Saccharomyces cerevisiae S288C: one gene and its partners. The main gene of each other region encodes a partner of the protein of the gene in region 2 in a complex. Each region holds a gene or a part of one and is shown on either strand. Other genes may lie near its edges.

Region 1 (2,576 bases), on a different chromosome or scaffold from region 2:
GAATCTTCAATTGAACCAAAGGCTATCATTCGTTGCGCTGTTCCCCAAAATGAGAATGAATTGAAGTTGTTAAACCAAATTATTTCCTTAGTCGTAGAAATCTACGATGGGTTCACTCAAGATTTAGTCCAACAGTCTCCAAACTTATTCATTACCAACGACATCTTGAAAAGAACTACCAACTTGCGTCAGCAAGAACTGAACAAGATCAAAAAGTTTATGAAAGAAACTGAATTGGAATTGGCAAAGGAGAAGAAATTAGAATTGGAAAAAGCCAAAAGACGTCAATTGAAGGCCTCTGGTCAACAAGAAAAGGTAGATCAAAAAATGAAAGAGAAAAGAGAAAGACGTCTCAAAAACAAGCAAAGAACAAGATTTCAGTAAGAACCACTTTGTTCTTCTTTCCTCCTTATAATTTTCTGAACCTCTTCAGTTTTTGTATACGAACGTTTTCCATGTATCCATACATTTAAATAGTAAGTATGTAAATTGGTATGTGGTGTTTTGAATTGCGATGTTGCCTATATACAAGATTGTACGCTATCTGAATACATACTCTTTACCAATCAAATGTCAAGACCGGGGATCTTAACCTCTTCGATAGTAATCCCAGAATCCAATAATCCCTTCTTTTCCTCTTTTGGCTTCTCTTCTTTCTTGTGGCCAAAAACAGATTCTTTACGTAACTCCATGTTCTTTTGAACTTCCGTTTCATGGCGTTTAGAGAGCTGTTGATGGTCTTCCTCTAGCTTTGCCTCAAGTGTTTGGTATTGTTTTAACAGTTCCGTATTTATGTCGTGTTCTTCGCTGAGTATGTATTTTGCACCATTGAAGTTATGTAAATAGTTTCTCATTAAAGATGGTTTGACATTTGCAACTTGTCCTTTATATAATTGAAATCGCGGGAAATCCTTCAGGACTTGAACCTTGACCCTGTGGGTTCTCTTTGTCAGAGCGCTCAGACACACCTGGGTGCAATGTAGCATCTTTGGTCGACCTGTTTCGTTCGTTATTTAGTTAGCCTTTTATATTCCTTACGGTATAACGTAACTTAACTGCCCTTTGAGTTTGCTTTTTCATCGGAAAGAACAAATGAACTAAAAACTTGCAATAATAAACAAAAAAAATACAAAATAACGTGGATGTATTAAACCAAAAACAAAATAAGACAACTCTAAAGCTGTCAAACAGAGATCTAACGGATTGAACCATGTCCAAAGTAATGAAACCCAGCAACGGAAAAGGTTCTAGAAAGAGTTCAAAAGCAGCCACACCTGATACTAAAAATTTCTTTCATGCAAAGAAAAAGGATCCGGTGAACCAAGATAAAGCAAATAATGCTTCTCAAATTACGCCAACAGTGCCACATTCTCATCCATCAGATATGGTTATCCCTGACCATTTAGCCGAATTGATTCCTGAGCTGTATTCTTTCCAACAACTGGTGGATTCCGAGAAAAGATTAGATCATTTTATTCATCTGCGAAACTTACATATGAAGCGAATGGTTGCGCAGTGGGAGAGGTCAAAGCTATCCCAAGAGTTTCTTTATCCTCATTTAAATTTTCCAAATGTAAAATTTCTCCGAATCTTCATTTCAAATGTTAGTGAAAACCAACCCTGGCAAATGGACACAAACAATGAGGCTGACCTTATGGCACTGGAGAATGCCACTTGGACGATGAGAATCGAAGGTCGATTATTGGACAATGTGCAAGCTAATGATCCAGCAAGAGAAAAATTTAGCTCATTCATAGAATCGATAGTGGTAGACTTCAAAAATAAGGAAAACGATAATGTGCCATCGACTAAATTTAATGCGGCCCCTGAAGAAAATGCCACCGAAGGACCCAGTGATAAGAAATTGAACTTAAACTTACCGTTACAATTTTCACTGCCGAATGGTGACAACTCTACTACGACTAATACCGACCAAAATAATGCCACGATGGGGGAGGAGACTGCCAAAAAGGATATGAGTTCTACAACTCCAAAACTAGAATCAGTGAAATGGCAGTATGACCCGAATAATCCTGTAGACTTCGATGGTCTCGATATTAAGAGGGTAGGGTCTGAAAATGTAGAATGCACTATAAGCATCCTGCGAAAATCATCCCCAGAAGAGCCATTTATGAGCTACTCTCCACAACTAACCGCAATAATAGGATTGAAGAGCGGTACATCACATGATGCAATATTTTCCATATATAAATACATCCATTTAAATGAATTGCTTACCAATGATGAGTCTGCATTCGAAAATTTGATGGGCAACAGGAACAATCACAATAGCAACACCAGTACTAGTAAGATGCTTGATGCAGCCTCCAGTCAAGTTTCTATTGTAAAATTAGACACTCAGCTTATTACCTTATTACCCAGCAGTCTTAAAGAATCTTCTCCAGATACAATGAAATTAACGGATTTACTGTCCCTTATTAATAGTACTCACCTGCTCCCATTACAGCCAATTGAAATTGATTACACAGTACGCGTTGATAAAGCTTCCACTTATGGTGAGTTGGTTCTTGATATTGAAGTACCTGATGTCAACGCTCTAAAATTCAATAATACAC
Region 2 (3,042 bases):
ATATCTTCTTGACCTGTCATGAAAATGAGAATATCACCGCTTGAACAATCGTTTGCTAAATGAATTTTCACAGCCTGAGAAACTGCAGCTTCTACGTAGTCTTGAACAGGGTTGGAAGTATATATGGTCTGTACGGGGAAAGTTCTTCCAGGAATTGTGAACTGAGGAGCATTACCAAAAAATGCGGAGAACTTCTTCGCATTCATTGTTGCTGAAGTGATTATGAGTTTTAGATCTCTTCTACGTGCTAATAAAATCTTGAAAAAACCTAGTAAAATGTCTGTATTTAATGACCTTTCATGAGCTTCATCAATAATAACACACGAATATTTATCGAGTGTATCATCCAATAAGGTCTCTCTGAGTAGAATACCATCCGTTACAAACTTAAGTTTTGTACACTCAGAATCCGTCACATCTTCAAACCTTATAGAATAGCCTACTTCCTTACCCAATGGAACTTGCATTTCCATTGCAACCCTTTTTGCAACGGATATGGCTGCTACTCTTCTCGGCTGTGTGACAACAATAGATTTCCCCCTATCGTTGGCATATCCTTCTTCATATAAATACTGTGCAAGTTGCGTGGTTTTACCTGAGCCCGTTTCACCAATTATCACCACTACTTGATTTTCTCTTATCAATGATAACAATTGAGATCTGCAGCGGAAAACAGGCAGTTGCTCTTTAGTATGTTTAATGTCATCTTTTGATGGCGTGAAAAGAGCTGTATCGTCGCAAATCTTTTGGTTGCTCTTATCTTTTGCTTTATTGTTATTCTCCAAGCCTAGTACTTCCCCCATGGCAGTGTTCAAAACAGTGGTGTTGTCTCGAGATTGTTGAATATGTTCCATGTTTATCCTTCTCAAGGCAACCAGCTTACTACCTCGTTTGGCGTTCGCAGAAAATTCACTGTCAGGATTCCTAAATGGATTCACCATTGATAAAGCGGATACTTGGCTGGACGTCTCAGAGATGGACCCGATAATTATGGAAGTGGGCACTTTGTTTTCAAGAGCAAACTTTGATAAAAAAGGAGGGATCCATTCCATTCTTTGCTTGAGTGGTATGGGGTATAATTGAACGGTATTTCGTAAGGCATCATCGTTGTCGATATTCCTAATGACAGGTAGTAGTTTCGCTTCCTCAGGCAATTCAGACAGAGGTTCAGGCACCAAATTTCCATAATCATCATCATTATCATACCATTCTCTGTCCTCCTCAACTACTTCGCTTCGAGTCGGTTCATAGTCCTTCGTTTCAGCATGACCATTCTGTGTTTGCTGTTCACTATTTGGAGAAGGATCCTTCACGGTGGGCGAATACTGCCTCAACTGTTTGGCCTTTAGTTTATCTATTCTCTTGAACAACGTCCGTGTAGGTGCTGGTTTTTTTTGAACTGGAGAATCTAGCTCATCTTCATTATCGTCAAGGTCTAACTGGATCTTAAATTTCTTTCTCTTATTTATAGAAGGGGCGATTTTCTTTGGGCCTGTCGAGTCCTCTTCAGATTTATTCTTGAGGAGCTCCAGAAGTTCATTAAAAATGATTGGATTGTTACTGCTGAGTTTCGTCAAAGCTTTACAGCTGGCAATAAACTGTTCTAGATTAGTATTCGGCTTTTGCGCTAGTTTCTGCAGTGTCAAAAGCAACCCAGGCGTTAGTTCTTTTGACGTAAGTTCCTTAAATATGTCTTTTATCCTTTCCTCACGCCCCGAATGACCCATACCAGAGGTATTTGTATTGTCTTTGGGCCTTCTTGTGTTTTATCATCTGCAGTCATCTCATGAATTTTTCAGCTTTCACCGCTTTTATTATTTGAGAAAATAGAAAAGAGGGCAAAAAGAGATACTTTCAACAAGTTAAAATGGAAAATTAAAGACAAAGTAAAATAGCACAAGAATGATTGGCAGAGGTGTGTGCTGCAGATCGTTCCACACTGCTGGATCTGCCTGGAAGCAATTTGGATTTCCCAAAACACAAGTGACAACGATTTACAACAAGACTAAGAGCGCATCTAACTATAAAGGGTATTTAAAGCACAGAGATGCTCCAGGAATGTACTATCAACCATCAGAATCCATCGCAACCGGATCTGTTAACAGTGAGACCATTCCACGTAGCTTTATGGCAGCCAGTGACCCTCGTAGAGGGCTTGACATGCCTGTTCAAAGCACTAAAGCGAAGCAGTGTCCAAATGTTCTCGTAGGTAAGAGCACAGTGAACGGCAAAACCTATCATCTGGGACCTCAAGAAATTGATGAGATCCGGAAGTTACGTCTTGACAATCCTCAAAAGTATACACGCAAATTTTTGGCTGCAAAATATGGCATTTCGCCATTATTTGTATCCATGGTCTCGAAACCTAGTGAACAACATGTACAAATTATGGAAAGTAGATTGCAAGAAATCCAATCACGCTGGAAGGAGAAGAGGCGTATAGCCAGAGAGGACCGTAAGCGTAGAAAACTCCTGTGGTACCAGGCGTGAATGCTATATAAATATAATAACAATCGTGTAAATACTACTCTATAAGTACTTCGTATTCATATATTGATCACAATGCACGGAGACGCCCATTAATGTGACTTGAATATACCACATGAAAGCTAACCAATAAGCAATTTAAAAAGAGTTAAGTACAGCTTGGAGACACCCAAAGGCTTCTGCTTCGACAACTATTGACTATCGAGATGGCTTACAGTGACTACAGCGATGGAGCAGACGACATGCCGGACTTTCACGACGAAGGTGAATTTGATGATTATTTGAATGACGATGAATATGATCTAATGAACGAGGTATTTCCTACTCTAAAGGCGCAGTTACAGGATTACCAAGGCTGGGATAATCTTTCACTTAAGCTAGCTTTGTTTGACAACAATTTCGATTTGGAAAGCACGCTGGCGGAATTGAAGAAAACTTTGAAGAAGAAGAAGACACCAAAGAAGCCAATTGCTGCTGCTAATGGGAGTGCGAATGTTACTCAAAAACTGGCAAACATCTCAATTTCGCAACAAAGGCCAAATGATCGGCTTCCAG
Region 3 (2,527 bases), 470 kb from region 2:
AACGGAAAGAATTAACGATGGTACCTTATACGACTTGGTAATATCTTGGGACGAATTCAAACGTTCGAAGATACCATTTGCAGAGAGATGCAGATTGACCATTTTTTTAAGCTTACAACTATTATCTGCATTAAAGTACATGCATTCCAAAACGATTGTTCATGGTGACATCAAATTAGAAAACTGTCTGTTACAAAAAGAAGGTAAAAAATCGGATTGGAAGGTTTTCCTATGCGATTTTGGAATGAGTTGCCACTTCGATGAGAAGCATGTTTATCGTAACGATACTTTTGATGAAAACTTGAGTAGTGGCAACAGCCATAGAAAGAGAAAAAGTATTGAACAAACTAATTTGATAAAGTATCCCACAACCAATTTTTTACCTGACGACCGAACTAATGATTTTGACGCTAGTGAAAACTTAAAATACCAATTTGAAAATCGAAAGCATCAACCGTTTACACCAAAAGGAATGGTTAGCTCCAGTTCACATTCATTAAAGCATCTCAATCAACCATCCTCTTCTTCTTCTTCTAATCTATTTCACAAGCCAGCCTCTCAACCTCAACCACAGCATCGGAGTCCCTTTCATGGGAGGCACAAGACAACCGATTTTTCAAACCTGGAACCCGAACCTTCTAAATATATCGGATCTCTGCCTTACGCTTCGCCAGAACTTCTAAGATACTCAGATGCAAGACGTTCAAAATCAGTTGAAATGCATATTTATGATTCACCAGACTCCTCTCAATCGGAAATTAGCGCAGCATCATCATCTTCCTCTAATTTATCTTCTCTATCATCCTCTACAAAGGCGTCCGCAGTCACGAATTCCGGTGTAACTACAAGTTCACCGTCTGGTTCATCGACTGATTTTCCATGTATTGTTTCTCCTTTAGGACCAGCATCCGATATTTGGGCCTTGGGAGTAATGCTATATACAATGTTAGTAGGAAAATTACCCTTTAATCATGAGTTCGAACCTAGGTTACGCTCTCTGATTAAAGTAGGCGAATTTGACCGATTTTCTTTAGCTCAGGTCTGTAAATTTGACAGGAAAAAAAATGAAGGAACGATTGGTCAAGGCTTGTATGACACAGTCATTGGATGTTTGACGATTGACTTGGATAAGAGGTGGAAATTGAAAAGGATTGAAGAAGTCCTTCAAAACGAAATGAACCTAAGCGAGGCCATTCACGATAATAATGGCTCATGACTTATGATTAATGATATTGATTGCATTGAAAAAATACATACATTGTGCTTACTTTTTTTTCTCCCATTTTATAAATTATAACGAACTTCATAATTACTATTACGAAATATGTAAATAAGTATTTTTATCGCATATTTGATGCCTCTATCACTTATTTGGCGCTATTCATTGCGACTCGTGCAACGTGCGAAAACTCAGAATATTTTTTTGAACAGCCTTAAATCATGTTGCTAAATGACGGATGGAAGAAAAGGGACCTATAGAAGAGTTCGGATAAATTGTGAAGCGTGGATATTGGCATAGCGGATTTGTAGAACGGTGTGTCGTCAACCCTTTGAGATCTGGATAAGCCATATTTTCTAACATCACAACATGATATTTCTAAAATCTGTCATCAAGGTAATCGACAATTCAGGTGCACAATTAGCAGAATGTATTAAAGTAATAAGGAAAGGGTCCCCCAAGAGTCCTGCAATGGTTGGAGACAGAATAGTCTGTGTTATACAGAAAGCAAAGCCCTTGACTCAAAACATTACGGGGACAGCCAACACCAACCGTGTCAAAAAAGGTGATATTTGTCACGCAATTGTCGTAAGGTCTAAACAGCGTAACATGTGCAGAAAGGATGGCTCCACCGTTGCATTCGGAGATACTGCTTGCGTTTTGATTAATAAAAATACCGGTGAACCTCTGGGGACAAGAATTATGGCTAATGATGGTTGTGTAGATAGAACACTGAAAGACAAGGGATACAATAAGATATGCTCTTTGGCAAGTAGGGTCATATAAGAATAAAAGTACCCCCATTTTCCATTCATTAACGTTATAATCAAGGGACTGTAAACCAGCAAAAGAGCTTTGTCGTCATTATTTAATTAACCACCTGTATATATTGCTTAAATTTTAATGTATGACTTTAACTTTGAAAACGCATGAACGTGCTGCTGACGTTCTACTCATTGGAGTTGTATTCTTTTTCTTGTCTTATTCTATAATTGCATGCCGTGAATATTGTATACAAGATATTTATGTGGAATCATATATTAGGCAGCAATTCGTACTTTTCATCCACTGCATATCTAAAAGTTTGCCAACAGAAATCCTTTTTCTTGGTTCCCATTGAAAGATGCGATATAATGCGATTTTTCTATTTGTGGCCAACTCTGAGTTTACGTGCTTTAATTCTTCGAATACCCTAAACTGGTTTTTACGCTGCATTTCCTTGTAAAATTCATCATAAGACATATCTTTTTCTCTCGAAGCTACTTTCCAAAGATAATGCCCCAATATCATTGTTATATAAACAACGCC
Region 4 (3,433 bases), on a different chromosome or scaffold from region 2:
TTTAGAAATGATATGATTTTGAAGTGTAATGCTAAGAAGAAAGAGGAGCAGGCACAGTACGAGGAGAAATTGAAGCTGGTAGAGGAGGCAAAGAAGGAATACGCCAAGCTACACCCTGTAGTAACTCCTAAAGATGTGCCTGCGAACGCCTCATTTAATTTGGAAGATCCTAATATAGATTTTGAAAGAGTTATTCTTAACGCCGTTGAATCCCTGAAGGAAGCTTCAACATAAATAGAAGCTTCAACATAAATAGGATACTAAAAATGCACATTAGCTCGCACTGAATGACGAAGTTATGATGGATTCTCGTTCGCTAGATGTTCCATATTTTTTTCTTCATTCGTTAGTGCACAAACAATAAGGAAAAAAATGAAATGTATATATTCTAGAACATACTAATATCATACGTATCGTATTGTAAACAAAATTCACATTCCAAAAATTTTTCAGATTCTTACTTTATATTATTTGCATCAAGCTTTATTAACAATGACACGTTATTTTATATGTACAGGATACTATAATGTCATACTATTTAGGATCACCTTCTAACTCTGCTAAAAACCCTTCCAGGTGGTAGGCCATATTTTTCTCTGACGGCGGCGACTTTGGCATCCCATTCGCTTCTCCAGATATGTGCCCCAATAGCGGTTAGATTGTATTTCTTCGTAAATTGCCTGATATCAAAATCATCTCTACTTAGTTCCTTTCGGTCAATCTCTAACATGTTAGGACCTTGCTTATCCTCGATTAAGGGTTGTCTGAATACCCAAACAACGAATCTCTGTTTTCCAGCATTCTTTTCAGGTACCGGAGGTAAGTAGTCAGCGATAATATTAGAACTGTGGAACTTTCTTGGATCTATTAAATTGTCATTATAAGTCAAATTAATATTCACCAATCCGTAACACAAAGCCGTTTTAAATGAGTCATTACTCAAATCTGGAACATCAGGATTGACTATCAGTACCGTATACAATTGTTTTTCAACGTTCACAAGTTCATATTCTTGAATTTTGAAAATGGGACGCATGGATGTGACATTGGACGATAGAAATTCACCAGGTTCGATCCACTTATTTACACCAGTAGAGAAGGGAAATTTGATATTCACTTCTGCCCGTGGAACCAGAGTTGGAAGAGTATCAGGAATGGCAGCCAACGTTTCTAACCTTTGCATCAATAACATCTGGCCGTACGATTCCCAATGTTGTTTCCCCAAATGTCTGTACACTGGCACATCATAATCTATTATATCCTTAACATTGTTCAACTTGTTATTAAACTGAAAATTGTATTGTACCTCAGGATTATTGATCTCTGCTTTTATGAGAAGTGCATCCTTCTTCAAGGGATTTTTAGTCTTATTGGCCAACTCATAAAACTTACTGGATCTTTGCTCAAGAAAATCATAACTCATCCTGAAAATCTCATCAATGTGTTCTGGAGGTGAATATTTGATACGGTTACTTCTTCTGCTGATAGATGGTGGGTCTAGAGAAGCTTTCTTCTGGAAAAGGTAATTTTTCACTTTTGAAGATTGGATAGAAAGTGAACTAGGCCTTGTGGTAAAGTCCGACCAAATATGCGAAGTAGCATTAGGTTTTTGGAGGATTTTAGTGGTATGAATAGATCTTCGTAACATAGTTCGGCAGTGACCTTGATTTCTGTAAAGATCTCTGAATAAGCTTTTTGCTGTAGTCTGATATTGTATTGGATACTGTTGTCTTATCCCAGACCTTCCGGCTTCCGGTTTAGCCCGGAAAATTTGAAAAGACTGCGACAGTAAATCCCAAACACATAAGAAAATAAAAAAAGGAATACATAAACAAAAATGGATATATAAAGGCTAATTTTTTTTTGTTTATCAAATATTCCTTATTTTTTAACTTTCTTAAAAATATTTAAACACCAGATTTCGAAAAAAGTAATATTTATTCTTTAAAAATGCGGTGACCAGCGGGCGATGATAATCAAATATTTAAAAATGATATAATGATAAAACTTGAATTATTTTTATAGGAAAAGTGGAACCAAAAGATTTTCTAATGCACTGATATCATGAGCAGTTAATGAAAAATTATTAATATTATTTTTTTTATATTTTTATTCAAAAATAACATTCAAAATTTAATTTTAATAAACTCATTTAAAAAAAACCTCTAAAAACATGAAGATAGAACTATAATAACGGCTTCAGTATTCAAGACAAAGCCATGTGCAGGTGAAACGATAGAAAAGTGACATAGCCGAGACAATCTAAATGAAGAATTCCTGTACTCATCTCAGACTAGCATTAACAGGGACTTGCATAATTATATCTCTATCTCTGTGTCTATGTATATATATATATATATCGACACAAATGCAAAAAATTACAAAATTTTCACCCACCATAGACGCCAGTGAAAACATGTTTAATTTCTTCCAACGTGTAGTTACCTGCCAAACATAATTGTAACAAGATTCTGCTCTTTTCAGGGCTTAGATAACCAGATGCGATGAGATTATCCTCCTTTGAACCTTTCTTTGGTACGTTGGCAATAGGCACCATACCATCCATCGATCTCTTGGAATATACGATCGGCAAACTCAATTTCATGCAGGTTTCATTGACCTCCTCCGGCAATGAACCAGCACCCATGGTAGCAAGAACAATACCATCATACTTATCTGCCACTAAGTTGACTATAGCTGGCGGAAAGGCTTGGTGAGCATATAAAATGCAAACCTCTGGTAATTTAAAATGCTTACCGTCCACTCTCAGTTTGAATTTGTGGCAACCTTGCGGTTTCACAGGAGGATAATAGTAGTGAATTTCATTGTTGACAAAATTTCCTAAATAGCCTTGTCTAACATTAAAAGAATCCAAACTATTTGCATTCGTCTTAGTAATGTAGTAACCAGAGGAAATTTGGTCATTCAAGGAAACAAGAACACCTCTTCCTCTAGATTTTGGATTTGAAGCAATGCAAATTGCTTGGTAAAGGTTCATAGGGCCATCAGCAGAAACGCTGGTTGAAGGACGCATCGAACCAACAAAAACAATAGGAACGTCGCCAGCATCAATAGTACTTTCAATAAAGAATGCAGTTTCAGATAGCGTATCAGTCCCATGGGTAATAACTATACCGTCAAAAGCCTGCAACGATTCTGAGACGCCCTTATAAATTTTATAAAGAATATCCTCGTTTATGTCTTTAGAATCCACGTTGCATAGTTGCTCATATTCAATGTCACAGACCTTGGATATATCTGGAATGGCATCCAATAGATCTTGGATGGTCAGGTCAACATGATAGCCGGCAGTTTGAGAGGAGTCTATAGCTTTCGATGCAATAGTACCACCGGTACCCAAGATTTTGATTCTTGGTAAGCTACGTTGTTGGCAAGCGATGCCGCTGCCATTCACAGCGGCATTTTGAGACTT

What was found.
Region 1: MRPL20 (region 2) and MRPL50 share a complex: the UniProt entries of both Saccharomyces cerevisiae proteins name them as parts of the mitochondrial large ribosomal subunit.
Region 3: MRPL20 (region 2) and MRPL38 share a complex: the UniProt entries of both Saccharomyces cerevisiae proteins name them as parts of the mitochondrial large ribosomal subunit.
Region 4: MRPL20 (region 2) and MRPL35 share a complex: the UniProt entries of both Saccharomyces cerevisiae proteins name them as parts of the mitochondrial large ribosomal subunit.

What each region holds. Positions count from the first base shown.
Region 1 is NC_001146.8:669,208-671,783, forward strand, and holds MRPL50 (mitochondrial 54S ribosomal protein bL9m MRPL50), read right to left. Parts: upstream 987-2,576; coding exon 567-986; downstream 1-566. Other genes in the region: YNR021W (uncharacterized protein), read left to right, coding at 1-384; SNF12 (Snf12p), read left to right, coding at 1,211-2,576. UniProt on the Saccharomyces cerevisiae protein: Component of the mitochondrial ribosome (mitoribosome), a dedicated translation machinery responsible for the synthesis of mitochondrial genome-encoded proteins, including at least some of the essential transmembrane subunits of the mitochondrial respiratory chain.
Region 2 is NC_001143.9:598,542-601,583, reverse strand, and holds MRPL20 (mitochondrial 54S ribosomal protein mL58 MRPL20), read left to right. Parts: upstream 1-1,902; coding exon 1,903-2,490; downstream 2,491-3,042. Other genes in the region: DEAH-box RNA helicase PRP16, read right to left, coding at 1-1,727; ribosome dissociation factor GTPase HBS1, read left to right, coding at 2,694-3,042. UniProt on the Saccharomyces cerevisiae protein: Component of the mitochondrial ribosome (mitoribosome), a dedicated translation machinery responsible for the synthesis of mitochondrial genome-encoded proteins, including at least some of the essential transmembrane subunits of the mitochondrial respiratory chain.
Region 3 is NC_001143.9:129,046-131,572, forward strand, and holds MRPL38 (mitochondrial 54S ribosomal protein uL14m MRPL38), read left to right. Parts: upstream 1-1,588; coding exon 1,589-2,005; downstream 2,006-2,527. Other genes in the region: protein kinase NNK1, read left to right, coding at 1-1,216; putative serine/threonine protein kinase KKQ8, read right to left, coding at 2,243-2,527. UniProt on the Saccharomyces cerevisiae protein: Component of the mitochondrial ribosome (mitoribosome), a dedicated translation machinery responsible for the synthesis of mitochondrial genome-encoded proteins, including at least some of the essential transmembrane subunits of the mitochondrial respiratory chain.
Region 4 is NC_001136.10:1,108,804-1,112,236, reverse strand, and holds MRPL35 (mitochondrial 54S ribosomal protein mL38 MRPL35), read right to left. Parts: upstream 1,649-3,433; coding exon 545-1,648; downstream 1-544. Other genes in the region: TIM11 (F1F0 ATP synthase subunit e), read left to right, coding at 1-234; asparaginase ASP1, read right to left, coding at 2,390-3,433. UniProt on the Saccharomyces cerevisiae protein: Component of the mitochondrial ribosome (mitoribosome), a dedicated translation machinery responsible for the synthesis of mitochondrial genome-encoded proteins, including at least some of the essential transmembrane subunits of the mitochondrial respiratory chain.